Arabidopsis thaliana: one gene and its partners. The protein of the gene in region 4 interacts with the protein of the main gene of each other region in a pairwise test. Each region holds a gene or a part of one and is shown on either strand. Other genes may lie near its edges. The genes, in order: BLH2, BEL10, KNAT4 and OFP4.

Region 1 (9,709 bases), on a different chromosome or scaffold from region 4:
GAGTATTGATGGGTACGAAGATGTTCCTACTAAAGACGAGACTGCGTTGAAGAAAGCTATTTCATACCAACCGGTTAGTGTAGCTATTGAAGCCGGTGGAAGAATTTTTCAACATTACCAATCGGTAAGCGAACCGACATTGATTTGTGTATTAAGTAACAAAACCGGGTTTTTGGATTTTTATTAACCTGATTGGTTTTGGTTGGCAGGGTATTTTTACCGGAAGTTGTGGTACAAATCTTGATCACGCGGTGGTTGCTGTCGGGTACGGATCAGAGAACGGTGTTGACTACTGGATTGTAAGGAACTCTTGGGGTCCACGTTGGGGTGAGGAAGGTTACATTAGAATGGAGAGAAACTTGGCAGCCTCCAAATCCGGTAAGTGTGGGATTGCGGTTGAAGCCTCGTACCCGGTTAAGTACAGCCCAAACCCGGTTCGTGGAAATACTATCAGCAGTGTTTGAAATCAAGACGCTCGATAAACATTTGGGATTCTTATAACTGAATTTAATCTCGTATTGTTATTATTGTTTGTATGTATAGTATTTCAACAACAATTTCAAAAATTAGTTGATTCATCATAAGGATATAAAATTTATAAATCCTTATGTCGATCAATTTCTTTTTTATTCAAAGAAAGATTGTTTGCTTGTTTTATGTATTAAGAGAAATATAATAAAATGATATATTTCTTAAGAGCCATTGGTTTTCACTCCTTCATCCAACTAACAACATAACAAAAGTCGGTTTCTTCTACTTCTCCTCAATCTTCTTCTCATCAATTTTCATTATGCACCTCAAAAACAACATTTGTTTTTCTTCTTGTTTTCACCTGCTCTAGATGTTAACTAAGTGATCTGATAAAATAAGGTTTAAGCCGCATGTTCATAAATTCATTTTAGTCATATCTAGAAATGTCGGTGAGAAATTTATAAAAAACTGCATGAACACTGAACACATCTATAGAAACTTGTGTGATATCTATACAAAAACAGATACGCTAAAGCCCAATAAAAGAATTTTGGGCCTATCACTTTCCTTATTGATGGCCCAAACAATTGGGTCACCTCTTCAAGCTTGTATCATGGATTCATGGTAAGTGAATCTATATGATTGTAAATCAGTGATTTCGAACGATTTGGGACTGTTATGTTATAAAGTGAAGGTTTTCATTTTGAACAATTAAAGAAATCTCGAGAAATTAAATAACCAAGAATACAGATATATGAAAACAATAAGTCGTACAACGTACATTAGTTTTCGAAGGGATTTACGTATCGTTTTCTTCTCTTCACGAGATAGAAAAAAAAAAGCAGAGGAGGGCTAGACTAATGTATTGTTTTGACTTTTAAGAGACAAAAATAGATTTTCAATTAAAATAAGTAAGAATGGAAACTATAATTAATTAATTAAATGGAGTGACAAAAGCAAACTAAAAACCCCCAAACTCTCTAACGCAGAAAGAAGCGTCTTTGTCAGGCATGTTTCCAGCGTGGCGTAAACCAAGCGTGAGAGACACGTCACCAGTAGGGTTTGTCCCAAACCTTATAACGTTAACACCATCCATGTCAGCATCATCGAACCCACCTACACTTTGTTGACACGTGGCAACGGCGGAAAACGCGTCTGAGCCACCGTAACGAGAATTCAAGTCGTCAGAAACAGCGGCAGGAGCGGCGGCGTTGGAATAAGAGGAAGGGAGTAGAAGTGATGAAGCGTCGTTTTCGTAAGCATTAATGTTGGATCTTAGACGGTGGCCTGTCGCTACTGCTGCGTCTGCGTCTGATGCGTCTGGTGCGGTTGTCGTTGGAGTTTGTGAAGTGGTCCGAACGGCAGTGAAGTTGCTTTCATTGTTGTTGGATTTTGTGCTCTTGTCGTCGTTGCTGTTTTTTGTTTCTTGATCTTCTTCGTTCTCTTCTAATTCCTCTTCTCTTTCTCTTTCTTTTGATTCTTGTTGGTACATTTCTTCCACCATTGGTTTCCATAAACGAACCCTAGCATTTATGAACCAATTTGATACCTGAATAAAAGAGACAAAATTTTCACTAGTTGAATCATTATAATATCGAAATAAAATTGAGGGCTCTTTTTGTTTATTTGTCATTTGGTTATTTAATGTAGGGATACAAGAAATTGAGGGTTTCTTTGGGACAATTGAAAGCTGCAAACTTTGATGTACTTGAGGAAAAATGGACCCTTTTGCGTCTTTAATGTCGATCTCTTTCTCTCTCTCCTATGTTTTTGTATATATAAATATGCTATAATAATTTAAAGACGAATCCCAAGAAAAGCTAATGGTGAGTGGAAGGCAAAACACATGGTGTTCCTCTGTCATATCACAAACCAAACAAAGATAAGAAACAAAAACCATGCAATAGAGTCATCTCAGGCTACTAGTTAGTGTACTCGTACATGGTGTCAAATAATTTTGGCTTAGTCAAATTCGTTTTGAGTAACTACTAGTATTTATTATTTGATGTTTATAACAAGCATGTATATGTTTATGAAAATTATGAAATGGGTTTGGGTGATAAATTAATATTGTAGTTATATATATAACTGTGTACTATTGTGGAGTTTATTTATAAACATAGAATGATGGGTTTAAAACAAATCTTTAAAACACGCGGTTAAGAATTCGTAATCCAGACTGTGGTCATTTGATTGTCTGATTAAGAGTATACTCAGCTAACACAACTTGGTGAAGTAGAGGCATATGTATTTGATTCATGGAGATTTTAAATTTCATTATATCGTTGGCTATATGTATATATGTAGACTGACCTGATTTCTGGATAAACCAGTCTGTCGAGCCAATAGGTGTTTATCTGCATCACTTGGATACCTGAGAAAGAGACCAGAAAATGACATCACTCTCTATCTTTGCCCTAATAAACTCAATGTAATTTATTTTCTTTATCTTTTCACTATATACAATACAATCAAGTAGACGCAAGAAAAAGTACAGACTTTTTCCTAACAAGGGCGTGAGAATCTAACAGACAAAAGAAAAGTTGATGATTACATATCATCGATCCAGTTTTTTTTTTTTTACTTGGCTTTTTTTGTTTTGTTTTACTCTTAAAGCAATTTGTCAGAGAGGTGAAAATAGTACAAAAACACTACTCTTTTGCTTTATTTCCATTTTTTCGTTCACTCTCGTTAACAATAAAATAGCAAAATTCTAGAGACATAGTACTAAAGAAAGTAGAGGTGAAATAACGAGAAAATAAATACTTTTTCTCAGCTTTTTTCAAAATTCAGTTTCTCTATAATAATTAATAAATAACGAGAAAGAAAGAAAAAATTGACTTACGGGTGAAGGAAATGTTCGAAGAGCCAAGCTCTAAGTATATTGACGGAGCGTTCAGGCAAACCGCGTTGTGGCCGCCAAGCTTCTTGTTCCATCATACCCATTTGATGAAACGCACGGTTCTGACGCAAACTTTGCTCTAGCAAACGCAAACGCGGAGTTTCACCTTTTGTTAACCCGGAAGAAGAGATTCCCGCTGCATCTTTGTCCCCAAGAAGTTCGCAACTCTGCTTAAGCTGAGCCGCAACTGCATCTTTAAGGCATCTAAAATGTCTTGACATAGCTTTTTGAGCCAATGCGGTGTACGGTAATGCCGCACCGTGGCCCATTACTATGTCGAAAGAGTTCACAACCATCTGCATTTGCTCGCAGTAATGGTTGTACCGTCGGTCCACCTGCCAACGAAACAAAACTATACATTATACAATCCATAAATATCAATATTTGCCTTTTTCTTTTAATTAATGTTATTGTTAACTCGTGTGTGTTGTGTTATATGTTCACGTGATTATTATTTAGTGTAGATTTTATCACGGGAACCTATGCTTGTGTACGAGCATCATCTAATAAATAAACTAATGAGATTAATTAGTTACCTTTAAACGAGACAAAATAAGAAAATAAGATATTATATAGACAAATTATTGACCAGAGAATATACTTCAATGTTTGCGCAATCCTACCAACAGCACATTTTATCGTATCCTCGAGCATAAACTAAAATATTTATTTCTAGTGAGAAAAAAGCAAGGTCAACTAAAAAGTAGATAATTCAATTATGGGTAAACAAATAAGTAACGTCAAGGGTTAGCTTTAGGACGTAACTGGAGAGTAGCTTATATGGAGAAGGAAACGCCAATTACATAATTAATCGTAATTATTTAATGCATTTTCTTTGATTAATCGATTCCACCAAACGCTAAGCATCAAAATATTCAATATACTTTCTAATACGACCGTCACACGAGCAAAATGATTAAATTAATTTTAATTTTAAACAAATGATGGTAGGATTGCGCAATCAAACTCTACCAAAATAATCAAAAATAAGTAGTTAATCGAGAAAACAAAAGACCAATTCAGTCATATCAGGTTTCTTGTTTCTTTGTCATAACTCTTGGATCAATTTATGAATCTTATCGAAATGTAACGAAAACAATTTTACGTAAAATGTATGAACTAATATCACTGTAGAGTATAGACAAAGTCAAAATCAATATTAAAAGTTAATATGAACATACCTCTTCAAGCATGGTGAGTAGTTTCACTTTCCTTCTTTGATGCTCAATCCGATCAGACGCCGATAAAGGAGGATGCTCCTTGTTTGCTCCGGCCGACGAAGGAGAGCTGCCACCACCATCACCACCGCAAGTATTAGGGTTTGAGCTGTTCCCAAGTTTGTTCTTCTTCAAAAATCCTCTTCCAACACTACAAAACTCTTCCAACAACTCTTGCGCGGCCGTTGTGTACCTCGAGTTTCTTAAGATATTGACCGCTGCCATGGAAGAGGAAGAAGCAGCCGGAGATGATCGGAATTGGTTTAATACTTGATGGTGATGTTGAGAAGAATTAGCAAGAAGAGTCTTGAATTGATTGTATTGATGATGAGGTGATGCGTTAGAAGAATTGGCTCCGTAGTAAATGTTTCTATACTCTTCCGCTTTTGCTGCAGCCTCTAAAGACGATGAGAGAGATAAGGACAAGCCTTGTCCTCCGTGTCCTCCGCTGTTTTCCACGTGGACGGTCCCAATCTCCGTTTGGCTGTTGTGATGATGATGATGATGATCGGGAGAAGACTGCCACGTCGATATCTGCTGGTGATGCTGATGTGGAAGCTGATGCATAGACATATGATTAGTGTAGTTCTGATGGTGAGTTGTGTTGGTGGATGGACTTGGAAGTAACATGTGAAGAGTTGAAGAATTGTGGTGGCTCCTTGGGGAAGTTGTGGATGACGGAGACGGTGGTTGTTGCGGTGGCGGTGGATTCATCAAGAATAACTGCATGGCGGCTGCGGTGGCGGTGGCTGAATCCGTAGCATTCATAGCCGGAATATTCTGATGTTGCTCCTCAAGCAACTGCCTATTTGACCGGAAAGATTGGCCGAGGTCGAGATCTCTTCCTCCACCGCTGCTTCCGGGGAAATTAAACATTTCGGATAACATACCGGCTGATTCGTAGACCGGAATCCTACCTCCGGCGACTGAAGATTCCTCGTCCATCTCTACCCTTTGATGCTCTTGCTTCTGCTGAGTTGTTAAATTGGGAGAATCTGATCGGTCGAATCCATTAGAGAAGTTGAAGATACCTCCTTGGTGTTGATTATGATGATGATGATGATGATAATCTTGGGACATAGAATTATTGTGAAAAGTCTTCAAGAGAATTGTAGTATTAGGAGAAGTTTTAGTTATTCCCATATCAATACTTCAATCTTTTTCTTCATGATATATGTTAATATCGTTCCAGAGCTCTCTCTCTCGGATCCTGTAATGATTCAGACAAAGAATTTAAAACATATGTAAGTCAGAAACTAGGTCTTACGCTGTTTTTTTGTCCATCTATCTACATCACCTATATAACTGATGATGAACAAAGACATAGAGATATATATATGTAGGTATCTATATATATGTATGTATGCAAAGAGAGAGCATAAGAAGATAATACCTTTGGAGTTTGTTGCAGAGAAGATAATTGAGCTTAGGTATCGTTTTCTCTCTCTCTTTCTCGCTTTCTTTTTCTGGACTCTCCTTTTCTTTCTTACTAAGAGTTTATTCAGAATTCACAAATATTATAAAAGATATATATATCGGAAAGAAAAATATGCGAGAGAGAGGTCACTCTTCTTTCTTCTTCGTCACCCTTTTTAGCCCACCAATCTTCTTTATTAGTTGGTTTCCTATATATATATAAAGCTGCTCGTGCAAAAAAAAAATCGGTGATTTTTTAAACTATGGTTTCTTATGAAAGATTTAGTTGAAAAGGTTAATAGTAGGATTGAAGGATAGAAATTTCTAAGATGCGTCTTTTTTTCACGTAAATGTCTTCTGCCATTAACAATTTGAAGATGTTTATTTTCGTAATTTTTTTTTTTTTTTTTTAAGTGAGTACAAGGTCATATCTCAATGATACGAACCACCACCATAAATTTTAGTAATACTATCGTGACAAAAAAAAAAAACATATATAATATTTAAAATACTGCCATATTTATATTTCCCATAATACCCTCATCTGTCATTCTTCTGATTTCACTGGACTGACTCGCAGATAGGGTCAATTAAGTCCATATTTACGTAACTGGTCATTGTTGGTGCATAGCTCCCCAGTCCTCATCAGCATAATTTAAAGTCTACACATTTATTTTAAATGTAGCATATCTCTATTATCTTAACCTGGAATACCCTAAAAGATCTTCGTAAATAAAAAACTTCATAAAAAAAAAAAAAATCTTCTTAACGTTTGTTAATTTTTTTTTTCTACTACATCAAAATTGAATTTACTTACTTTATGCGAGAATATGACTCTCTAAAACTCCGTACGACTGGTCGTAATCACAACACCACAACAAATTAATCTCATATAATCAATTGATTTTAAGTTCTAACCACAAGTTAATTATCCCTTCCAATCGACTTTTCAGGGAAATGACAAATTAGTTACATATTAATTAGCATTTTCTAATGATAACATAATATATCCCACATACATATATACCAATACAGTGTTAAATAAAATGTAAGCTGTATTTTCTAACAATTAGCATGGCCGAAGTAATAATACTCATGCAAAATAATGCAAAGGCTAGAAAAAGTATATATTCAAACTATTTTTTCCGGCCATCGATCTTGTGATCATAAATTAAATTTTACTACTTGAGGGTCGAGTACGATGTAACTATGAATGGCTTGAAGGATAATGTAATGAAATTCGGTGTGCATTTTTTTTGTTTGGTGTATCAAATAAACAATAAAAGATGAGAGTTCGCACGAGCGGGAGTTGTGGTTTGGAACGTGTGAAAGGTAGGAGGACGGTTCAGAAGTCAAGTGCTCAAAATGTTAATTAGGTTTATGTGGGGGATAATCTAGAAAACCGATGAAATCGACACATAACCGTTTTTTTGGTTCAACAGCTTTGAGTTCGAGTACTTGAGTTTCTTTTTTTGGTATGGCTAGACTATATTTTTAATTCCATGGTTAATATATAGATATCGGAATTTCTTTCTTAAAGCGGTGACATATTTCGTATCACGTCTGTCTTGCTAAAAAAATAGCATTCCCAAATTCGAGTTTTGGTGCATATCCCACAAATGGTTAGAGAAAGTATTAGATATCGCACCGTAGGCATAAGTCCATATTGGGATAAATAATTAATGGAAATGTCGAAAGCACAAGTGTAACTCCACTTATATAATAACATTGAATTTTGTTTATTGTGTGACACCATGTGGGAATCTTTCATGTCAAAATCATATCAGCACGCAAATTCTGTTATTTTTTATTTTTTATTTTTACACAGTTAATTCATGTCGGAGTAGTAATTAAAATAAAATAAAATAAAAACACTCTGTTTTTCCATTTTAATATTCCCTAGAAACGTAAAATTTCATAAAAATACGTTGCAGGTTTTATTTTAAAATTATAGCTACAAAAGTTTTATGTTCCAACTACAAAACCTGGAATGACAATTGACAGCTTAACCTTTCTACCTTCCTACCGATATTTTTTCTCGTTTTCTATTTTTTCCTTTCTGAAATAGAAATGGTTCAATCTCTCTCACGTGAATCCCACCCTCCTTTCACACGTATGCACAACTATCTGTTACGTGCCGAACCTTCCTTTTTCGTACGTGTGGAGAGGATCTTCTTCTTAGGCATTTATACTCTTTACCCACCAAAGCCAACTTGTAATGGATCCTTTTTCCTCTGCTTTATCATATCTTCAATGGTGTCAATTGTCTAACCTTCAACATATTTATTAGTCTCTTCATTTTTATTTCGACACGTTTCCGCTTTTCGACCTCACATGAACATTCAATTTCATAGTATCGAATATTTTGATTGATTTTTTAATTTCTGCGTCTTATAACCAAAGCTATGTAATGTGTTTAACTGTTCATTATCATTGAAATGTGTTCGTAGTTTAATGTAACCGGTGTATTTTGGATAGCTCTTGGATCAGAAAGTGTGATCATGTTGTGAGGTTGAGTCATTTCGACAACACAAAGGAGACTAATTTACTTGCTATGATCAGTAAGAATGTAAATCTTTAGTTGATTTTTTTAAGGTTTTAGATGAATGTATAACCTATAAATTTGGTCCTACGAAAAACAAAAAACATGAAAGCAAAGACAATGAGTCCATAAAACAAAATGTTTGCTACCAAAAATCACAAACTTATAAAGAAATATTTACACAATTAGTTTTTCACGAAAACCAAATGATTATATATATACAAACTCGTGGTGATAAATTATGATTAAATATGAAATGTTATTATATATTGCAATGATCTGTTATATCTGTCGTGATAGGTTTCATATTACCTGACTATAACAACGTTGATTTCCAGATCCTGTTTTCAGACAAAAGGATCATGAACTAAGTTATTGTTGAAAAGGCTTTCATCGGGTTTGGTCTTTTAAGTACGTTGAAGGAAAAATTATGAGTTATCATCCAGATTCGATAAAATTAGAGTTAGGTTTGATTTGATTAAATGTGGTGCAATTGCAATTTGTTAGAAGATTAAAGTCACCACTTTCTCTAAAGGAGATAAAAAAAGGTTTGATTAGCCAAAAGCTATTACAAGGACTCATAATATAGTCTCATAGCCACGTAGGTTTGATTTATTGTCTAGTCAATATACCATATGGTTTCATATCCATCAATCGTCGTCATATGAAATTCTGCAAACCATTATTATGCCTCATGAGTTTGAAAGTTGCCGGAATTACATTCTTTTTTACTGATTTTTTTTTTGGTAATTTCTAATTAGTGGTAATCTCCTTTGTGAGCTTAAGATTCATATGAAAGTTTTGTTCATTCTTAACTCTGTAAGAAGTTTTATTATACATAAAGTTGTAAACAATAAAGTCGATGAGAAAGAAACAAATAAATTTGATTATTTGTCATGAGTAATGGGAGAGTGAGACCACAAAGGGAGTTGTGAAAATGGCAGTGATGGTCCCTTCTTATTCCATTTCTTGTCCTTTTGGTGTTACTCAAATTGTTCCTTTCGTATTTACTTTTTTTTTTCTTTCTCATCTTCTATTTTAGATTCTTATTTCATTGGTTTGATGAGTAATAGTAGTTTTCAACTCTTTTACTCTGTTTCTATTTTTGCTTTTTAACCATTAATTGTTATTTTACAATCTAACAGTGTTTTACTGTTTTTG
Region 2 (7,761 bases), 4.7 Mb from region 4:
CGAAACCCCAAGATCACGACCCAAGCTTAACCATCCTTGTTCTGCAGCTAATCTCACTTTGGCTGACTGAGTTTTAGGATTTGGGAGATGACTGCAATATGAAGGAACGACCTTATCTATCATGAACAAAAGAGATGAAACTTGGAAGAAAGAAACTTACTTTTCATTGACCCACGCACCACCACAATCTCCATACACACCTGCAAGCATCAAAGAGAAGTATTGTAAGTTCCTGTCTACTGTGGAAGCAGAAGCATTGATGTAATGAGGAAAGTTAAAAAGGAAAATACTTGTTGATGAGAGATAACAAAGCCATCGAAGATTTCCACTCGAAAGCTTGTCTCTCACAAGTTCTACATTCCGCAACATCTTTTGGAAGTCATCACAGTTAAGACAGTGTTATCAAATAAGAAATCACATTAAGCTCTAATGATAAAAGCTGGAGAAGAAAGCAAACCGGATCACCAATGTCAGCTAAAGGAGGAATGGAAATGAGTAGATGAGTGTAATCTTTCACTGAATCTAGCAAGCTCCATCTGATTAACAAGCAAACAAAAGAGTTTAAGACTCAGATTTTAGAGATTACCATCATTGAAGATCTGATTAAAACAAATACTCAGGTGAGTCTGCAGAAAATGGATGAAGATTAATTCCTCTCTTTTCCCATTCTTTCTTCTTAGAATCACTCCTGCAAGTCCCTGAAACCACCCTAAACCTCCAAAATTGTTAACACCATCGGAGAAAGATGAAAATAGATAGATATAGAGATAAGGAGAGAAACTGAGATATCAGACCAGTCTGATTCTTTGAGCTGTTGCGCAAAAAAACCTCCGACGAATCCCATCCCGAGAATGAACATTTGGTTCGGCGATTCTGGATCTGGTGCACCGGATCGAGAATCGTCGGTTGCTGATAATGGCCGGAAAAAGTTGATTCTCCTACGATTTGAAAATTTAAGTGGTGTGGGAGTAAAACGGAAAGGAATCTCCGGTGACAAACTTGGTAACTGAAAAACCGCCATTGAAATCGGAGGACTGAGAGACTCCAAGGTCTGTTGTACTTTAACTGATTCACAGTACAAAGAAACTACGTGCCGTTTTGTTTTCAAAATCAAGGACTGCATTTCGTTTTTACAGTCCAGTGATATATACTATAAAGAATCGTGAAACATTTACCACAAAAGTCTCAAGTTCAGATTTTTTCACACTTGCAAGTATCCTTTATACCACCGTGAATATTATTATACACACATATCAATATTTGGCTTAAGAGTCTACTATACACAAAAGCAACCTACACATCTACTATATAATCCATAGAGAATGGGTGTATTATGCCTAATACTATAAAAATGCAAAAGCACATTTCTTGCGCTTCAAGAATCATCTCCTCTGTACCAAGAAGAACCAGATAATATCACACAACAAAGTCGTGTAAGTGATGGGAATTGGAGAATCTGCTTTCTTGCTGGTTGCTTCCGCTAATGTAACGGTAATCATCAACACCAAACCCGTGATAGTTCATCAGAGTGTCGTAATCCGATGAGCGGTTTATCTGTTGTTGCTGTGGGTCGTTATCATTGCCTAGAACACGATCTGGTTTGGTTTCTGATGAGAAGACAATGTTTGTTGTGTCTGCAGATGAATAAGCGAGGTTGCTGTTGTTGTTGTTCTCTTGCTGCTGCTGCTGCTGCGATGAGGAGTCTTCTTGGTTTGTGCTGTTGGGTTCTTGGGAAGATTTGGAGATTAGTAACTCAGATTCATCACCAAACTCTTCTTTATACATTTCTTCGATCATCGGTTTCCACAGACGAACTCTCGCGTTTATGAACCAATTAGCAACCTAATCATTTAGCAGAGAAACCAGAATTATTCAAGCAGAACACAAAGGGTGCAAATTTTAAGTGAAGACCAAAAGCTTGGTTTATACCTGGTTCTTTGACAATCCTGTCTGCTTTGCAAGCATGATTTTCTCAGATTCTTTCGGATATCTACAAATAAAAAAAACAGAAGAAAAACATAGAGTCTCTCTAAATGTTTTGTACTGGGAGATTGAAAGATTGTGACTTGTGACTTGTGAGAGAAGAAACACTTACGGATGAAGGAAATGTTCAAAGAGCCAAGCGCGAAGAACAGAGACAGAGTTTTCAGGAAGACCTCTTTGAGGTCTCCAAGCAGGTCGAACCATTCCAAGCTGTTGATGCAAAGCTCTTTGCTGTCTCAACCGTTGATCTAAATACCTCAACCTTGGTATCCTCTCTCCTTGTTGCTCATCCAACGACTCTCCTCCTTTCTCCCCAAGTTTTTCTCTAACAATCTGAATTTGTTCCTTTATTGCGTCGCGAAGAGCACGAAAATGGCGAGAGATTCTGTTGAGAGCAACTGATGTGTAAGGCTTAGCTGATCCAAGTCCTGCTACTATCTCAAATGATGAAGCTAATGCTTCCATTTGATGGTAATATTGGTTATATCTTTTATCTACCTGCAACCATTAACACATCCACAACAACCAAATCACCATCAATCCTGTTATAAACCAAAGGTAGTTTTATGAAATGTAAGTTAGTTACCTCATCAACCATTGTTAAAAGCTTGTTCTTCTTGTTCTGAAGCTCTTCACGTTCAATTGTAGATAACTCAATCGATTTCCCATTCGAATCACTCGATAACTCACCACCTCCTCCTTCTATCTCCTTAGAACCACTGTTAAAGTCATTAACTTTCATCTTCTTCTTCCCCATTTGGTTTAGTTCTTTCTTGACACTAACCACTTCATCAAGCAAATTCTGAGCAGGTTTAAGATACCGAGAACGCAGAACGCTGCTCATAAACCCTCCTGATGTCTCATTATACCGATAATTGTTGTAGAAGCCATTCCCACCATTACCAGCATAACCAGAGGAAGGATCAGATTGACCCAACAAGATCATTTCTTTGCTCTTCACACTCATCTCATCCACATGAAACGGTGACGTTTCCTTGACTGAAATTGAAGGATTCTGACTAGTAAACCCCAATTGGTATTGATGAAAGTGAAACGGAGCAACAGAGATCTGAGTACCAAGGCTCAAAGACAGTCCTTGACCATCGTGAAAGCTTAGATCGCTGCTTGAAACGGTACCGTTTCCTGTTACAACGTCTCCTGTGGTGGTTGGTGGGATAAAAACCATCTCGTTTCGAACAGTATCGCCGCCGGTGACGGTGAAAGAAGCGGCGGCGGATGAAGAAGAAGCTTGTTGGTTTTGTTGTTGATGGTTGAGAAAGATTGGTTCTTGCTGGTAACAACCGACATTACTTGTGTAATAAACTGCCATTGGTGTTTACACCTTTTAAAAGTTTTATTACAGTGAGTTCTTAGTTCGATGAGTTTGGTCGGGAAATGAGATCCTGCAAAAAAATAAGAGGAAGAAGAGTCGTGTAAGGTGTGGAATTTTAAAAATTTCTGATGGAATCTAAGAGAGGTTAAAACATCGTAATCATTTCACACCAAACCATTTTTTTTATATATCATACATAAACAGTTTCGAAAGCAACAAACAGAATCGGACCAAATTATTCGGAGGATTAAAGTCAAATTCTTGATAAAAAGCAAATGTTTTTCGTGAAGAACTGAAGAAACCCAGAAAAACCCAATACAGGAATTGTGTAATCGTAGAGGAATACCCGATCTATGGAGGTGAAATTGAGAGGAGAAAAAAACCCTAATTTGAGGTTGGAAAAAAAAATGCAGAGTAAAAAGAAATTGTGTAGCTCAACGTAGTGAGTCAAAAGCAGAGAAGATTCAATTATTACATAAAGAAGTAAAGTGTCTTGATGATTTCATCTCTTGTAGGAGAATTTCCAAAAAGCAAGGGAGAAAAAAAACACAGAAAGTATACAAAAAATAATAATCAAGAAACACAGTACAAGATTAATCATATCAAGAATCAAGAATCAAGAACTTGAATTTTTAAAAACTACCTGAGGGAGAGAATCAAAGTTAAAAGGAAGAAAAAAAACCTAGAGATTGTGTTTGTGAGTGTGGATGTGGCTGAATCAGGAAACACAAAAGCAGAAGAGTTTCGAACAGTTGAAGACAAAAAAAGATTTGAGACCCAATCCCGAGAGAGATAGAGAAAGAGGCGATTAATAATTGCAAAATTCTTAAATAAACAAATTTTTTTCAGTCCACAAGAACAATAAAACCAACCCAACTTATCATTGGGACATTAGACACCAACCCAATTTTTAAAAATATTATTATGCAATATCAACAATAAAATAAAATAATGATCACTACCGGAAAAATTTGACAACCGCTACCTGTAATTTTTAATTTTTTGCGGCAGAAGCTTCTGTTTCTGATGCTTAGAGTAAAGATAAATTAATATGATTTTTTTTGTGTGCCAACCATTCATAGAGAAACACGTGAGAGCTTACAAATCACCAATTTTCTTTTCTTGATTACGTGATAATATTTCTTATGACGACTTTAACATACAAAACTTAACAATTCCACACACACAAATAAATGGATTTTTATAGATGATTGTATTATACTTTAATGATGTTGTGTTGTCATTGACTTGAGACTCATACTACTTTTCCGTATAAGTTAACTAAATACAACCAAAAGAAAAAAGTTGAAGGAATGAGTGTTTATATATGAAAAGTTTAGTATTTGTATATTAAAAAAAAAAACCAAATCTAACTATTTAAACGAAATAATCTATAATGCGTACATTACCATGGTATCGTGGGAAACTTTTAACGACTTCCTGATTTGTGTACGTGAGGCTCCAAAATAGTGAAATTATTACCTGCCACAAATTATAGAGTCTAGATTTGGATTTCAAACTAAAATGTTTTTTTAAACTATTTGTTCTTATCACCTTGCTTTCATCATAAAGTTAAAGTTCGATACATTTTTAATAGAACTTCTTGAGCACTTTGTAGTTCAATATCTTTGAGGTTTTCTTTAAATGTTTGATATAACGGATATACTTTTAGTTATGCATGGTAGCGGAAATTAAACTCCATCAAATAAAACATAGAAACGTCATTATAGGTAGGAATATGAGATTACAAAACTGACCCTGATAAGCTGGTTTAAGGAAGAAGATAAAACAAAGGTGGGTGTGTGTCTGCTCAATTGCTTAATTGATGGATTAAATGACTTAACAACCAGTTGGTGAGTCCCTCCTTACTCTTCTGTTATACCCAATTTTTATTCTAAGTTCTCTTGTCTTTTTATTTCTTTTGTTATAAACCTTTTAGTTATACACTTACATGTTTGTATTTGCATATTCCACAATGAAGAATACGTAAAAGATTATCTTTATAGCTACACTAATAATATAATCCATTTCCTCTGATTTTTAAAATAACAAGTAGTTTCGTTTTGGTTTGTTGGAGATTGGATTTAGAGCAGCCGACACAAAATCATTTGGCAAGTACCATTGTGTTGGAAAATTATTATTCATGTGTTTTGAGTCTTTGAGAGATGATGATATTGACTTTTGTTTCCACGTGGATCTTGATTTATAATGATGATTAAAAATAAATTAATTAGGCAGTTAGCTGGTGAGAGATTGATTAAATCTACTAAAAATTTAGATTATTAATGATGTAATTATTTTTAAAACCGTATGGTTCTGTAAATCATATTTTAAAGTTGAGGATGAATCGATGATGCTAAACGAGGAAAATGTGTGTGAGTAAGAAATGAACAACCTTTGGTTTGGAGGAAAATGTTGAAGTATAATAATTCTTGCCAATTGTCAAATATATTAATTACATGGATATATCCGAAAAAAAACTTTATAATAAATAGCCACAAGTTATGGCCGTGTAACAAAAAGTAAAAGAATTTATTGCCACATACATTGTTGGACCATATATGAAGACGGATCATCACCACTAAAATTCATGTTTGTAACATTTATATTCTATGGATCGAAATCATTATGCTCTCCATTATTAGAACCAAACAAAACCAAACCAAAATTGTATCAGCAAAACTAATCTGAAGCCTAGCTTAGCTTAAGAAAAAAAAAGAATTAAAACCATATAGTATGCATTAACTATCATCATAACTAGTTTAGTTTTAGGCTTTTAGCAAATAGGCCTTTTAAAGCCCATTATAAATATGAAGAGAGGATTCCATCGGGGGCCTGCTGAGAAACGGCAATCAACTTCCTTCTAAATAACAAAAACGGCGTGAATTGCAAACTTCTGCAAAGAGTCAACACTGATTAGCGGCTTTTCCCCATTAAATCTCTCCTCTAAACTTCTTCGTTCCAAGCTTTCTCCATCACTGACGACAGATCCTTAGAAAGTTCTGAGATCGATTGTTACTGTGTAAACCCTAGGATGTGATTCTAAGCTGTAGAGAGAAACAATGGCGAAGCCATCAACGAGTATGTGGGCAACATTGCAGAAGAAGAGATGGCCACTGATGATTCTATTGGTTTTATCTGTATCAACAGTAGGAATGATTCTCGTGAGATCTACTTTTGATTCCTGTAGTGTTAGTGGAAAGAGATGTAGCCGAGAGAAGGAAGATAACAGTGACATTAAGATCCAATCGGTTTCTGGATCGTTGAATCCTCTCGAGTTCATGAAATCAAAGCTCGTTTTACTTGTTTCTCATGAACTCTCGCTCTCAGGTGATGTTTTGTGATCGTGTTACTCTCTTGTCAAAATCTCTATGGCTAAACTTGAAGTGATGATTTTAGGTGGACCTTTATTGTTAATGGAATTGGCGTTTTTGCTTAGAGGAGTTGAATCTGAAGTTGTTTGGATCACGAATCAGAAACCAGTTGAAGAAGATGAAGTGATCAAGGTTCTAGAACACAAGATGTTGGATCGAGGAGTCCAGGTTCAGATTTAGCTAACCACCTCCATTGTTTTTCTTTGATTCGTATCATAATTGTTAGTGATCAATCTTTTTTGAATCATTCAGGTGATATCAGCAAAGAGTCAGAAAGCTATAGATACAGCTCTCAAGTCTGATCTGGTTGTTTTAAACACTGCTGTTGCTGGGAAATGGCTTGATGCAGTTCTCAAGGACAATGTTCCTAAAGTTCTTCCTAAAGTACTCTGGTGGATTCATGAGATGAGAGGTCACTATTTCAAACCGGATTTAGTCAAGCACCTTCCGTTTGTTGCAGGTGCTATGATTGATTCGCACGCAACAGCTGAATACTGGAAGAACAGAACTCATGATCGCTTAGGGTCTGTTTCCTCTCTGTAGAGTCTTGCGATATATTAGTTTACGTTATTGTCATAAGCTTAACAGTGTTTATTCTTTTATTGTTGTAACACAGGATTAAAATGCCTAAAACTTATGTCGTGCACCTAGGAAATAGCAAGGAGTTGATGGAAGTAGCTGAAGATAGTTTCGCCAAGAATGTTCTCCGTGAGCAAGTTCGAGAATCTCTTGGAGTGAGGAATGAAGACATACTATTTGGCATTATTAATAGTTAGTCATTTCTTACATTCTTTCTCTTCCTTAGTTTCTTTAAGAATCATAATCTGCAAAAGACTCAAAATTTTGGTTAATTTGCTTTCTGACTGGTGCTTCTCTTATGCAGGTGTATCTCGAGGAAAGGGCCAAGATCTATTCCTCCGAGCGTTCCATGAAAGTCTTAAAGTAATCAAAGAGACTAAGAAACTTGAGGTACCAACAATGCATGCAGTGGTAGTAGGAAGCGATATGAGCGCACAGACGAAATTTGAGACAGAGCTACGCAACTTTGTCCAAGAGATGAAACTTCAAAAA
Region 3 (8,530 bases), on a different chromosome or scaffold from region 4:
ATAAGAAAAAGAAAAATCCTATGTAAGAAAATTCTCTCAAACAAAGGAACTGTTAGGGCGTATTAGACTTACTCTAATACGCTATAATGTGAATTACGAACAATAATCAAAGCAATAAGAGAAAGTAATTCACTATAGGAACAACTTTGGCATCGTTACAAAACAAAGTGAAAGATGAAGAGAAAACATCCTTTACGTTCCATCATTTTCATCCACAAACCTGACAAAAAGCTTCCTATGTTCTTTCTCTACTCTATCTTTATAATAAAATAAAGTATTTATGTTCTTTTAACTCAATGTTTTGATGTATATGTTGTCTATATTGTTAGGTTCCTTGTAATTTTCATCTATCACAAGCCAAGTAGTGTACAACAAAACAAATTAACAAAAGAAAGCATCATCATTATGAGCATCATCCTCGTATTAGATTCACTGTTTCTACAAACATCTTTTAGGAAAGAAAAAAAAAATTCCAACAAAACTGAATATCTTTATTTTGCTGAGATGACATTGTTTTGTCTTGTGTGTTAAGTTCTTGTGTTCAATATTGATAAATATAATCAAATGGCGATAGTTGACAAGTCACCAGGCCAGCGATCAAATACAATCTCTACGATCATCACATACTTATTCAAGGCTAGCTGCGTCTATATATTATAAAATTTTCATATAAGTTCCATATTAGTTTTTGTTTGTTTGATTGGCAAATGCACGGTTTTAATAATCTTGTTAGTCAATAAAGTTTAAAAATCAATCGCAAACCACTATAGATTAGTGTTTCCATAAAGAAGATTCATTGGCTTATGTATCAATGACTATTTAAAAAAAAAAAAAAATTGTAAACTAGACAAGATTTTTGCTAACAACCCCAATTATCATTAACTAATTAATTAATGATTTTGTTTCTGTCCCTAATATAGACAGCACAAGTTGTTGATTAAGATTCTTTGTACCACCCTACTCTTAGCTTTGGTCCTAGACAATCAATATAATTAAGTAGGTCCAAATCCAAGGCTTGTTTATGTGAATGTGAAATAAGAAATAATCGGTGATTTTTATTCAAAAAAGAAAAAATAATCGGTGGTGGTCGTTCAATCAGTAATCTCGAGGTCCGAAAGCACAATGCATATCACGAGTTCAAGATTTACTGGTGATTACAATTAACTTGGCACATTGTAATTACAAGATTTTTATATATATATTTCATGTTTCACTAACCATAAGGTAAGGAAATAAAAATAAAAATGAAGGAGTGATTAGTTGGAGCCGTAGGCCGTAGGGAACTTCGTCGTTTCTCGTAGAAAAGAGTGTAGGGACGACAAGAGTTGTTGTGAAATGGACGACTGTGATCGTTAATGTGACTCTCTTTGTCCAATCATGTGTTAGCTGATTCCACACGAAACATAGACCTTATCACACTGGAAGTTTACTTGACACATGTCTCTACTCTTTTATTCATCATCACTCAGACCTTACTGTTTGGATATTTTGGTGGATTCAACTTTGTCGTTTAGTCTCATTCATCGGCTCTCTCGCGTGTATCGCACGCAAATAGAACACTCAATGGCCAAATCTTGGAAGCAGTCAATGGCCACCAACCTTCAATAAATTACCACTAATCATTGGATAGTTCTAAGAAATGTCTACTTTCATATATTAATGCCAATTTTACCGGTTAAATTTTGACTTGACAACAAAAGATTTAACTTTTCTTATGAATACAAAATCAAAGAATAAATTTAAACTGAACAATTGGTATACGAGATAGAGAAACCAACTTCGATCAAAGTATGAGTAACGAAGCTTGATCAAAGTATGAGTAGGTTAAAGTTAAATTACTTTTAACAAGGTAGAGACAGGAGTGGTCGTGGATATAGGTTAGACTAGTCTAAGTGATGGAGCTTAATTAGACGGTTACGAATTGTTTTGCATCACATTCCTAATAAGTACATTAGATGGGTTTGATACAAATCGATGGATATTTATATTGTATTGCTTCCAATTCTCATATTAAAAACATTTGGAACCACATGCAAAAATTTATATGCTTGTAACATAAGTATATAATCTATTTATTTGTTTATTTTGTCAATGCTTAGTGATCAAATTAACAAAGTATAAGTATATGTATGTTTCTATAATATCTGAAATATTTATTCCTAGATAATATGTGTATGCCAAACATTTGATATCGTGTATCTGTAATCATGTTTTTTTAGCAGAAGTCATGAGTTCATACCAAAATTAATATGCAAATTTTATGTTTTTTCTGATGATGGGATTAAATTTGTCGTACTTTTTTGATAAGACAGCAACTATAAGCTTAAGTCAAATTTCTGAAATTGGTCCCCCACACCTCTAAATTTTTGAATCGTTTGTATTTTTTTTGTTACTAAATACAAAATAATGTAAAATTTAAATTTGTACGGCTGGATTCTCTTATCCGATCTATCGCATGCCAATTTCTTCAGGGACCACAATTAGAGGAAATCGTTATCACGACACGTGTCCTCCGATATTTTTGGCGCCGAGTAGTGACGTCATTATTAATGGTCCCCTCCTTCCTTGCTTTTTTCCCATTCGTCTACTCTCCTTTTTCTTTAACAAATTATCTTTTTTTTCCTCCGATATTCTTCAAAATTTGTTTTAAAATCCTTTGCAGATTTGTGTAATTTATTTACTTTTGCTTGGTACCAAAAACAAATAGAGCAAAAATGAGCAATTCTTTTTGATAAGCAGAAAAAAATGTTAGGAACGAATGAAGAAAAAGTGATGCAGCTATTTCCTTTTACTGTCACTTCGTAATTCGTATCATTCTTTTGCCGTCAACTTCTACCATCTCTTTTTTTTGTAAAACGATAAAACTTTTTGTTGTCGCTGTAAATGTTAGTAATCTGACCTAATCCCAATTTATTATGGATCACCAAAAAGCTGGTACTCTACAATTTAATAATAAAAGAAGAAGAATAAATATAGGAATAAATCGTCTTTTTTGGTGTAAGCTACATATAAAATTCAAACCGTCAAACACACATACACATCGAAACCCTTATATTTCATTTTCTTTCTGTTTTAGAGAAGAAAGTTTCTATAATTGATTGATAAATCTGAACATCAAAGCTAAGAATTTCTCTTCTTTTTTTCTTCTTAATTCATCTTTCCCTCTCCGAAACAGAAATTCAAAAACAAATTCAACACGAAAACGATGGCGTTTCATAACAATCACTTTAATCATTTCACCGACCAACAACAACATCAGCCTCCTCCTCCGCCGCAACAGCAGCAGCAACAACATTTTCAAGAATCAGCACCCCCTAATTGGCTCCTCCGCTCCGACAACAACTTCCTCAATCTCCACACAGCTGCCTCTGCCGCCGCTACAAGCTCCGATTCTCCTTCTTCCGCCGCCGCTAACCAGTGGCTCTCACGATCCTCATCCTTCCTCCAACGAGGCAACACCGCAAACAACAACAACAACGAAACATCCGGTGACGTCATCGAAGACGTTCCCGGCGGAGAGGAGTCAATGATCGGAGAGAAGAAGGAGGCGGAGAGGTGGCAGAATGCGAGACACAAGGCGGAGATACTGTCTCATCCACTATACGAGCAACTTTTGTCGGCACACGTGGCGTGCCTGAGGATCGCAACGCCGGTGGATCAGCTTCCGAGGATAGACGCACAGCTTGCTCAGTCTCAAAACGTCGTGGCTAAGTACTCAACTTTAGAAGCCGCTCAAGGACTCCTCGCCGGCGATGACAAGGAGCTTGACCACTTCATGGTAACTTAACTTCTCTTTCCTTCTTACCACTCTCAATTCCCATTATTTTATTCCTTTTCTTTTCTTTTGGAAAATAAAATCACTAAAAATTACTTTCATCTTTTATATTTAAAACGGTTTGACAAATTTGAATATTTTGTTGTTAATTATCTCCAAATTTATAAAAGTAAATTAGAGAAGAAAATCAAAAATTCTTTCTAGACTTGTACTTTGCACCGACAGACATGATCAGTGGGTTGGATAAATCGTCAGTTAAAAATTTGGATATTAGTTTTGCACAGTAGTAATTTGACAGCATAAGGTTTATTTTGAGATAGATTTTTGCTGAGTGTAAGTGATTGAGCAATTTCATTGATTGCAGTTACGGATACAGTGATCTGACAAAAACTAGTTTGTCACTTTCTGTATCTATATCCCATATTTTACTGTTCATGGACGTATTTGTATGATTGTATCTGTTGTCTGAAAGATATTTCCATGTTTTTGTGCAGACGCATTATGTACTATTGCTTTGCTCTTTCAAAGAACAACTGCAACAGCATGTTCGTGTTCATGCAATGGAAGCTGTTATGGCCTGTTGGGAGATTGAACAGTCGCTTCAAAGTTTTACAGGTTAGTTTTTAAGACTTCTACTAAATTATCAACTTTAATTTGTCATTTAGCTGTTATGGTAACTTTTGTATTTCACTATAGTATTGTAAAAGACACAAGGTTCTTTTATTTTATTTCTCATTTCAATGCTGTTTTTTATATTTAGTACCTACTTCTTGAGGTTTTAATTTAACACTTGTTTTGTTGAATGAGACAGGGGTATCTCCTGGTGAAGGCACAGGAGCAACAATGTCTGAGGATGAAGATGAGCAAGTAGAGAGTGATGCTCATTTGTTTGATGGAAGCTTAGATGGGTTAGGGTTTGGTCCTCTAGTTCCCACTGAGAGCGAGAGATCTTTGATGGAACGAGTCAGACAAGAACTCAAACATGAACTCAAGCAGGTAACTAGTGAAATATACTATATCCATCATTTACTACTACACATATATAAGATCAATGATAACAAATCCTTCACACCTTATTATATATCGTTGTAGCTAAAGTAAATATGCTTCTATTTAGTCCAATCAACCAAGAACTTGTCAAAACTTTATTTTTGATCTACAAAAAGACTCAAATGAATTTATGATTTTTAATTGTCTGAAGCTTGTTTGATGAGTTGTCAGTTTGCAACATCTACATAGTACTTACACGCACTTATATGCATGAAAATTGTGGTACACACTATATATAGTTAGCTTAACTAATGATATTGACCCATGTTTTTGTGAAAAGGGTTACAAGGAGAAAATTGTGGACATAAGAGAGGAGATACTGAGGAAGAGAAGAGCTGGAAAATTACCAGGAGACACCACCTCTGTTCTCAAATCATGGTGGCAATCTCATTCTAAGTGGCCTTACCCTACTGTGAGTTCCCTCTTTCTACTTCTTCAGTCACTCGCATGAACACGCCTCGTGGGTCTTTACCTAGTTCTGTCCCGAAAATCTTTGACTACATCATTTTTGCAACTTCATATGCTTTCTCAATCTCCTAAGTTTTAAATGAATCATGTAAATTTTGACAGGAGGAAGATAAGGCGAGGTTGGTGCAGGAGACGGGTTTGCAGCTCAAACAGATAAACAATTGGTTCATCAATCAAAGAAAGAGGAATTGGCATAGCAATCCATCTTCTTCTACCGTCTCAAAGAATAAACGCCGAAGGTACTTTGCACCAACATAACTTTATAGGAAGAGTATCCAAGAAAAGACAAAATATGATCACACGATAAGATACAATCTCTGAAATATATATATGTTAGGTGTGACAAAGTTTAGCTTGTTTATGTATGGTTAGATTAATGTTTAGTTACATTTTCAAGATATATGGAGTCATTAAATTTGGAGGGTTTTCTTTATGAAGCAATGCAGGTGAAAACAGCGGAAGAGACCGTTGAGATCAAGCTTGCATGTAGAGATCCAAAAGCTTTATAGAAAGGTGGAGGCATGAAGACAAAGAATTCTTACACAACAAACGTAGGACGTAATTTTGTGCCAGTACATGGTATGGCTTTCATATTTGGTAATGATTAGGGCCACACAAAATTAAACCCCAAAGCATGATTTGTAATATGAGGTTTTAGATGGACTTTATGATAGGATCGTCAGTCTTCACTGCCATCTCCATTCTCCACCATCAATCCATCATTATATCTTGTGAATAACATGGAAATTTCTCGTTATGCATTTAATTTGTGCAATCATTGGCCGTAATCTACACAAATATACATATTAATTTAGCTTGAATATATTATCTCAATTAATGGTTTCAATTTTTTTGTTTTGTTTTGTGAGTGGAACCACTTTTTATGTGGAATTGTTAACCCTAATGCCAAAATCTAAACTCTGCGAAGGTCGCCAGCAAACGAAAGAAAGAGATTATCTCCGCCGTTGTCAAAATTATTAAAAGGGATTATAAAGTTTTTCAATTTGGGCCCCTTTCCTGCGTTTTCTTTATTGTCCATTATGGGCCTCATTGTCTCTAGACTCTCTACCTTACAGGGTTTGCTCGCCGACGTTTCATACATAGTCCTCTTGTTTCTAAGGATGCCGATTAACACTTTTCATTTTTATCAACAAACTGGCTTGCAAGGGTTTTGAACCTGAGTGATGACCTACCATTTCTATCCATACTATAATCAGATTTTTTTTTGTTCTTTTTTATAATCAAGTTGGTGAAATAATTAACAACAATACTAGCACAAATCATTAACATAATGGTTCATACCTCATAGCCATATAAGATCATGAAAAAGTTATAGTTTTAGAAGTTTGTTTTTATTTTTAGTTAAAATTTAGTTTTTCCAATTAAGACCGAGTTATTAGTTAACAATGTAAAACTTAAGTAAATGCGATTTCTTTGGATTGGTTTGATTCGACTACAGTAAAACATAGGTCTTTGTTTTGTTTTAACCATAATAAAATCAATTGGATTATAAATAACTTTAGTTCTAATTCCGTTTACACATTTAGGTTTGCTTCAATTATAATCCTTCATGGAGATAGATAGCTAGATTAGTGGTGGTAATAATGTATGAGTTGAGAGAGTCTCTTTTTAGGTAGAATAAGATTGCACATGACGTGGCATTGTGAACGTTGTGGGGTTTTGTGATTGGTCTTGTCTTCTACTTACAAGACAGTCATATGAGAGGAGCATTTTAGAGCTGGCCCAATCATAAAAGACAGCTAGCTCTCTGTGACTCTGTGTTATCCGTTATGTTGCAGCAGCGACGAAAACAATTTGCTTCTTCTTCTTCTCTTTTGTCCTTATAGATAATACTTTTCTTTTCAAAATCAATTCACAATTGCTGAAGATATCAAAGATTCGTTATCTGAAAGTGACGCAGAAAAAGTACACAAAATAAAAGTGTTAGTGGGTAACTGGAGGATAGATAGAGAATATAAACAGAGAGGACGACAAAGAAGTTCAACATTCTCTCTAGTTTATCGCGCGCTTCTTTCTGTTACACGTTAGCCAATCTATGAGGAACATTTTCTGATTTTTTTATATGTAAGTATATTAGGATAATCATTGATACAAATATTCGATTCATCTGGTGTTTCTCTAAAAGATTAGGATATTTATGGGAGAAGAAGCTCTTCCTCGAACACCAATACGAGGAAATAACGTTCAATGAAGTTTGACATTACATCTTAATATTATATTTTAAGATATTTTTTAATATGCGATGAAGGAATTCATCTATGTAGTACGGTAACAATTGCAAGTTGAGGACGTCACGATTTCATTAGTTTTTATGGCATATCTATATTCGTCGTTGGGGACACGATGCAAGTATATTATTTTTTTTTGATAAAGCAAACTTTACAGTTGACAAAAAAAAATTACACCTTTACAATTTACAAAATATATGTTTAAAACATATCATAATACATTTGTTAATTAGAAACACTATGGATTTATATAGAAAATGTACTGGACTAATGGTGGATACAAATATCTAAAATGGAAACAATCAATGACGATGATTGATATTGAATGTTGTGACTCGATAGGAGATCAAGTCTAGAGATAGTTGTAAGGGAAAAAGTAGAAAAGAGTATAATACACTAAAAATGTATAGTAGACAAAACGAGCAAGATTTGAGGCATCAGAAGAGAAAGAGACATGTCGACCGGTGGCAAGTGGTAGGTATCACTATGTAACAACACAAACGTCAAAACATGTGAGAAAGCGTTTTTGCTTCGCTTTTCTTTTTCAATTTTCCCCACTTCACTTCACTTCACACAGTCACACTCTTATCCTCAGTATCTCCACTTCTTTTTTCAATGAAATGTTGTGGATAAATAATACGATAATTGGCATCCACTATCTTAAACCAGCTTTGTATGACTATGCCCGTGACAGCTTACCAGAATCTCTGTGTTTTGATTAATACTATTTCCAGACACTAAAGGTTCTTTTTTCCTAACCTAATTCATAATTAGTCGAAACGTAAAGATTGATTCTTCTAATTATTAATATTCATATATAATTCCAGTAGCTGAATCAGGTTCCTGTGTTCTATCTAAAAGTATACTATACAAATAAAAACCTTTTTCTTCTCGACATGAGTTTAATACTATATGAATATGACTACACAAATATTTTTATATTTTTTGAAAAAGATAAATATGTTGATGTTGTATACCCAAAAAATTG
Region 4 (5,465 bases):
CGGAGTTAATTTTATCTTGTTTCTAATAATAGACACATTCTCTCACAGGGTGATATTAAAGATAAATTTCGAGTTGAGATGAGACGTGAAGAGCGCCGTCATTGAGTAGGTGAGTTAAACATAGTCATAGTCTATAAGGTACAATCGTCACCCTGGTGACCTTTAGAAGAGAATAACAATAAAGTACTGCTGCATTAGCATCTCAGTTCCCCGAAACTAAAGTGTGTAGAGTAGAAGAGGGGTAATGATATGAACCCTCACAAATAGTGAGCCAAGTTCTAAGAAGCCAATAGTTGCTTACACAAGTTAGCTTTGAAGGTAAACTCTACCTGTAGAACTATGAGCGTATGTATAATGCTTCTTAATACAGCATATAAAATACTATCAATGTTGGTTTTTTACTATGTCAACGAGTCATATTCTGTAGAAGGGAGAAATTGAATATGCAGGAATAATGGATTTTATGATTTCTATATATTTGACCACTGATGTGATAAATTGATGGGTAAACAAATCAATGCTCACCCATCATGGTAGTCTAACTTTATAATGGGTTAGTTGAGCTTAGGAGGGTTGGTGTTTTAATAGCTGATGATCTTCTTACTTTCTTTTCGGCATTAAAATCATAATTATATCTCTCGTTGTTCTTAATCTTACGTATAATTGCTCCATCAATTTTCCATTCTTTGCTTATAGGTATTGGAGTACTGGAGTAGGCATCAGACCTTTTTGTGAGTAGACGAGTACCAACAACTGCTGAACAATGACGTATTGTAAAAAAACTGGGTAACATTTTGTAGCCTTTTGTCTTTAAGACCCATAGAATAGCGTACGACGATGATTGTCTAGTGAATGGTTTTGTTAAGTAAACTAGGTTCCTTAGTCAAATGTAGACGAGCAGTTCATTTCGGTTTCATATTATTTTCTATTACGTTTTCTACTGTCTTGGTGTTTCATTTACGCAATGAGTCGATATCGATTAGGGTTTCGAAAAATTTACCTCAGAGATAAGCAGAGTTGTTTGAATCTTGACCTCAATATCGATTAGGGTTTCGAAATCCTTGTTTGAAAGAGAAGAATAAGAATCACAACGCCTCAAATATATAGCGTTGATAATGGGGCTTCGCTTTAATGGGCCTACAGTTTGTATTAAACCGGCCTTTCCCGTGCACTATATATCAAAATCGAGTTTGGTGTTTCATCATTTAATGTTTATGTTTTGTGGTTTGATCAATTCCCAAGAAATGTCTGTCCATACCGTACTAAGTACTACCAGTATAAATAGATGGTAGAGGAGATGGGCATTGGGAAGCAGCAGCAAAACAGTGGTCCTCATCTTCTTCATCACGACAACAAAGAGCCTTTAGGTTCTTAAAACTCTCTCTCTGCTTTTCCTCTTTAACCATATACTCTTCTGTGTCAGTGTTAGTTTCTCTCTCTAGCGATTTATGTTATTCAGGCTCCATTTTCATGTTTCCTGCTTCATTACTCATTAGGACTGGAACCCATTTCTACTCCGTACTTGATGGGTTTCTGACTTGTCTCCGTGTGGCTTCTTGTCACTACACTTTTGGCCTTTTCTTGACTCTTTTTTTTTTCTTTTGACATTTTCGCTCTTGTTACATAAGTCGTTACCATGACTAAACTCCATCAATCCTAATCTAATCCAAGGTTTATCACTACATGAAACTAATATAATAAAACTCTTTGGATTTGTATATTGTTTCTGAAAATATCACATAAACATTTAGCAGCACATACTGTTTCACATTTTAATTCTAAAATTGAATTATTATCATCCATGAGGCATGTATTGAATAAGTATGTTTTAGTTACTGATTTTTAAATTACTGAATAAGTATGTTCTATTACCTTCACAAACCATAACCAGAGACGAAAAGGAAGCGAGTGATTTATATGTCTTTATCACGTTATTCAGACAACACAAAAACTGGTCTTGCAAAGAAAATCTCCACGGCTACATCAAACTCTTTAAAAGAACTACAATTAACCAGAGATTTAAAGCTTTTGATCATAGTTCATTCTACTTCGATGCAAATGTAGAGTTTATGACTTCAAGCCAGACTTGAACGAAAACCTTGATAATGAGATCATGATACTCCTTGGGATTCAAGGTAAGGTAACATACTAGAAGATCCTCCATGTCGTTAGAGGTTCTGATGTTGTTCTCTGCTATCATCTCCACCATTGATTCTCTGAAATCCTTGCTCGGATCGATAGAACTCTTGATTACTGCAAAACTGTCAAGAATTTGTTTGTTCTGTGATCTTGATTTGCTTCTACGAGGCGAGACTTGAATTCTAGGAGATCTCGCTCTGAGCTTTATCCTTGGAGATTTAGCTGATGATCTTCTTCCACTAGAAACTAATGTTTTCTGATGTTTCTTCTTGGTTCGACATGCATCTTCCTCTTCATCTTCTTTCTCTTTACTGACCTTCACAGAGAGATGATGAGGTATATGTGTTTCCTTGGTTCGGTTACTTGCACGACAGGCTTTCTCCGTTGAATCAAACTTCGTGATCTCTTTGAAAGTTTTCTTCTTGAAATCTCTATTATTCATGTCGATGATAATATCATCTTCAGAAGAAATGACTTTCAAGTTGGAAGAGGCAGAGAGAGAATCATGGCTTTGATGAAATGTTTTGTTAAAACCTGCAGATACAATAGAAGAGGAAGGAGGAGAAGGCTTGTAAACAGTCTTTCTTTTGCTCTGTATGTTGTGAAGAGAGTTTCTTGGTGAAATTTGAAGGATCCTAGATTCAAAGGATGTGCGTGAGCGTGACCTATTGAAGAAGTAAGAAGTTGAAGAGTAAGGAAGAGACTTTGACTCAGAGGAAGGTTTTCTCTTCTTGGTAGTGTTTATGGAGTAAAGAGGAAGAGAATGCTTTTTTCTAGGTTTTGTCATGTTCTTGAGCTTGTGGAACCATTCACTTGGGCTCATAACTGACAATCTTAACTTATAGTTCCTCATCTCTAATTTCAAAAAATAAGTGATCTTCTCAGATAAAAGAGAGAAAAAAAATATGTATAGTTTGCAGAGTTTCTATGTGACAAATAAAAGAGAGAAGAAAGTGTAGAATTGGGATGTAAAAGGGACAAGACGGAACAAAATTGGGATCCACTTCATAGAATGTCTTTGTTTGTACCAAACTCATTCCGGCTTCTCTCCCTAACCGAATAACCAAGTTAAACCAAATCAAATCAAATTTAAATAAAATATCCTATCTAAACCGGTGTAATCGAAATAATTGAGGTGTACGTAGATGAGATTGAGAATTAAAAGGTTTTATTAGACTTGAAAATTGAGCAACAAAGTGTCCTCAAAAATTGTCTGTCGGTAGTAGGTCGATTGGTGGGTATCAATTAGACTAAATAGAATATTTCTGGTAAATTGCTTCCAAAACATAATTCGGCGAACGTGACAAAGGGTTTCAACAAAAGAGGTTAAACAAGATTTCAGGTTCATGTCCAATCTCTTAATATAGCCATAGTCATAGTATATAACAATAATGGTGTAGAAGAAACTGTAGAGAATAATAAAAGACATATTTGCATAAAACTCGGCGTGTCGTCTCCTTTTCACCAATTAGCTTGTGGTCTCCCTACCTCACACGTGTGTGTTTGACCAAAGCTTTTTTTTTTTGGGTCAACGACTCATATTTGAAGCTAGGGTTCGACAAACGAGCGGGGTCAGTCACAACCCTAACGACTACTACTGATCCCAGTAAACACCGATATATTTACCCACTCCTCCTACTCATAATGTGACAATATCTAGGTCAGATTATAGCTTAAAATTAAATTTGCAAAAAACATTCAAATTAAGGCTCAAGTTCATGGGACTCCACCATCACGACTTCGTGTCAAAGGAAAAGACGTGAAACCCACGTAACTCGAACCACCCTCCCAAACCTACACATTATACCACAACAACAACAACAAAGAATAAATCAGCTTCGGAAGGATCGAGAATGAGACTGAAGTCAAGTTTGATTAGCTTGAAATCAAAGCTTTCAAAATCATGCAACAGATTCATCTCCTTCTTCCATGCTCGTTTTCGCAATGTCAATACCACACAATCTTCATCATCTTCTTTGTTGTCTCGTCTCTGTTTTCTCAATACTAATAAGGAGCAGAGGATGAGCCAGATCAGACCCAGAAATTCCCCGTGTAACAACAATTTCTTTTGTAACTATTGTCGATTTTATAGAGTACCTTTGATCTAAATTTTATTCTACAAATATGCCACTGCAGCTAGTCTGATCGATGATTCCAAGCTTCTGCATTCAAGAAAGATGTTTCCTTTGGCTATGACGCAAAGGAACAAGAAAGCGAGGACGAGTCAAAGACATATGTTAAAGGAAGATGGTGTGAAAGAGGCTTGCAGAAGATTCGAGAACTATATGATCCATATGTTCGTTGAAGATGGGAAAATAGATGACTTGATGGACATGGAAGAGCTTCTCTATTATTGGAAGAATCTTAATAGTCCAATCTTCATTGATCTTGTGACTAGATTCTATGGAGAGCTCTGCACTGACCTGTTTCCAAGCGACCATGACGATTAAAGATCATTGAAATGGGTTTTATAATATATGCATGATAACACAGAGCATTGGATACAGAGTAGCTTTCTCTGTGTTCTGTTTTTTTTTTGTAAGTTGTACAACTTCAAGTGACAGGAACTTGATTTTACTACATTAAATCACGGAAATAAAAGATAATAAGAAAAGATTATTAAAGGATGGTACATTTCACATTTCTATTTACCAAGATTTCCGGTAAACCCCAGAATTCAAAAGATGAGAAATCTCAAGGTTTGGTTGCTTCTTCCCTCACCAATGGTAGTAGGCATTATTTCTCCGGAAAATAATCAAGGGGGAGCCTCGTCGTCTTCATAGGTATTATGTGGACGTGGAATCTTAGAATCAGGGGAGTCAATGAAAAGCGAAACCATGTATGTGGGACCTGTTTCAGAAACAACTAAGACTTGAGAAAGAGACTGACTCCACTCTCCAGTGGTTTCAAGGAAATCTCGAGGGACCTCTGATAGTACGCCAACGGCAGTGATGGTGATAGGGCCAGTGTAGTTAAACTTCCTCAAATTACGTTTTATAGACGGACCTACCCGAAGAGCATCATAGCCATCCGGAACCGGACACCCCTTTATCTCCCAATAGACCGATATTGTGGCCACAGCTGCCTCCCTCCATCATTCAAGGCCTTAAAGGTAAGAAAAGAAAAAAACAAATTCAGAATATATATATATATATAAGTTGTAGGCTATCTATGCAATTAGTCGATGAATTTGCAAAGAAACATGAAGAGATAAGGAGCAGAGAAATTTACCTGAGAGATAAGCAGAGTCGGTTCGGTTTCGAAATCCCTGATTGAAAGATAAAATTAAATATCAACCCCGCAAATATATAGGGTTGAGAATGGGC

What was found.
Region 1: the proteins of OFP4 (region 4) and BLH2 interact in a two-hybrid assay, tested with the Arabidopsis thaliana proteins (one large-scale study listed by BioGRID).
Region 2: the proteins of OFP4 (region 4) and BEL10 interact in a two-hybrid assay, tested with the Arabidopsis thaliana proteins (one large-scale study listed by BioGRID).
Region 3: the proteins of OFP4 (region 4) and KNAT4 interact in a two-hybrid assay, tested with the Arabidopsis thaliana proteins (one large-scale study listed by BioGRID).

The regions. Positions count from the first base shown.
Region 1 is NC_003075.7:17,365,447-17,375,155, reverse strand, and holds BLH2 (BEL1-like homeodomain 2), read right to left. Parts: upstream 6,242-9,709; 5' UTR 5,984-6,241; intron 5,978-5,983; exon of another isoform or gene 5,801-5,977; 5' UTR 5,734-5,800; coding exon 4,555-5,733; intron 3,709-4,554; coding exon 3,317-3,708; intron 2,846-3,316; coding exon 2,785-2,845; coding exon of another isoform or gene 2,761-2,784; exon of another isoform or gene 2,329-2,760; coding exon of another isoform or gene 2,269-2,328; exon of another isoform or gene 2,021-2,268; coding exon 1,433-2,020; 3' UTR 1,145-1,432; downstream 1-1,144. Other genes in the region: CP1 (cysteine proteinase1), read left to right, coding at 1-124, 210-464. UniProt on the Arabidopsis thaliana protein: Transcription factor that establishes leaf shape by repressing growth in specific subdomains of the leaf. Negatively regulates knox homeobox gene KNAT1/BP expression.
Region 2 is NC_003070.9:6,808,542-6,816,302, forward strand, and holds BEL10 (BEL1-like homeodomain 10), read right to left. Parts: upstream 4,523-7,761; 5' UTR 4,302-4,522; intron 4,217-4,301; exon of another isoform or gene 3,663-4,216; intron 3,454-3,662; exon of another isoform or gene 3,387-3,453; 5' UTR 3,314-3,386; coding exon 2,570-3,313; intron 2,482-2,569; coding exon 2,096-2,481; intron 1,991-2,095; coding exon 1,930-1,990; intron 1,843-1,929; coding exon 1,417-1,842; 3' UTR 1,224-1,416; downstream 1-1,223. Other genes in the region: AT1G19690 (NAD(P)-binding Rossmann-fold superfamily protein), read right to left, coding at 1-91, 161-200, 291-369, 458-536, 617-709, 795-1,021; AT1G19710 (UDP-Glycosyltransferase superfamily protein), read left to right, coding at 6,379-6,646, 6,716-6,858, 6,943-7,214, 7,307-7,461, 7,574-7,761.
Region 3 is NC_003076.8:3,507,203-3,515,732, forward strand, and holds KNAT4 (homeobox protein knotted-1-like 4), read left to right. Parts: upstream 1-2,630; 5' UTR 2,631-3,205; coding exon 3,206-3,778; intron 3,779-4,269; coding exon 4,270-4,390; intron 4,391-4,586; coding exon 4,587-4,771; intron 4,772-5,105; coding exon 5,106-5,237; intron 5,238-5,395; coding exon 5,396-5,532; intron 5,533-5,731; coding exon 5,732-5,765; 3' UTR 5,766-6,539; downstream 6,540-8,530.
Region 4 is NC_003070.9:2,122,810-2,128,274, forward strand, and holds OFP4 (ovate family protein 4), read right to left. Parts: upstream 3,094-5,465; 5' UTR 2,993-3,093; coding exon 2,045-2,992; 3' UTR 1,867-2,044; downstream 1-1,866. Other genes in the region: TRFL7 (TRF-like 7), read left to right, coding at 49-105; AT1G06923 (transcription repressor OFP17-like protein), read left to right, coding at 3,993-4,191, 4,276-4,589; AT1G06925 (endonuclease/glycosyl hydrolase), read right to left, coding at 4,895-5,228, 5,342-5,407.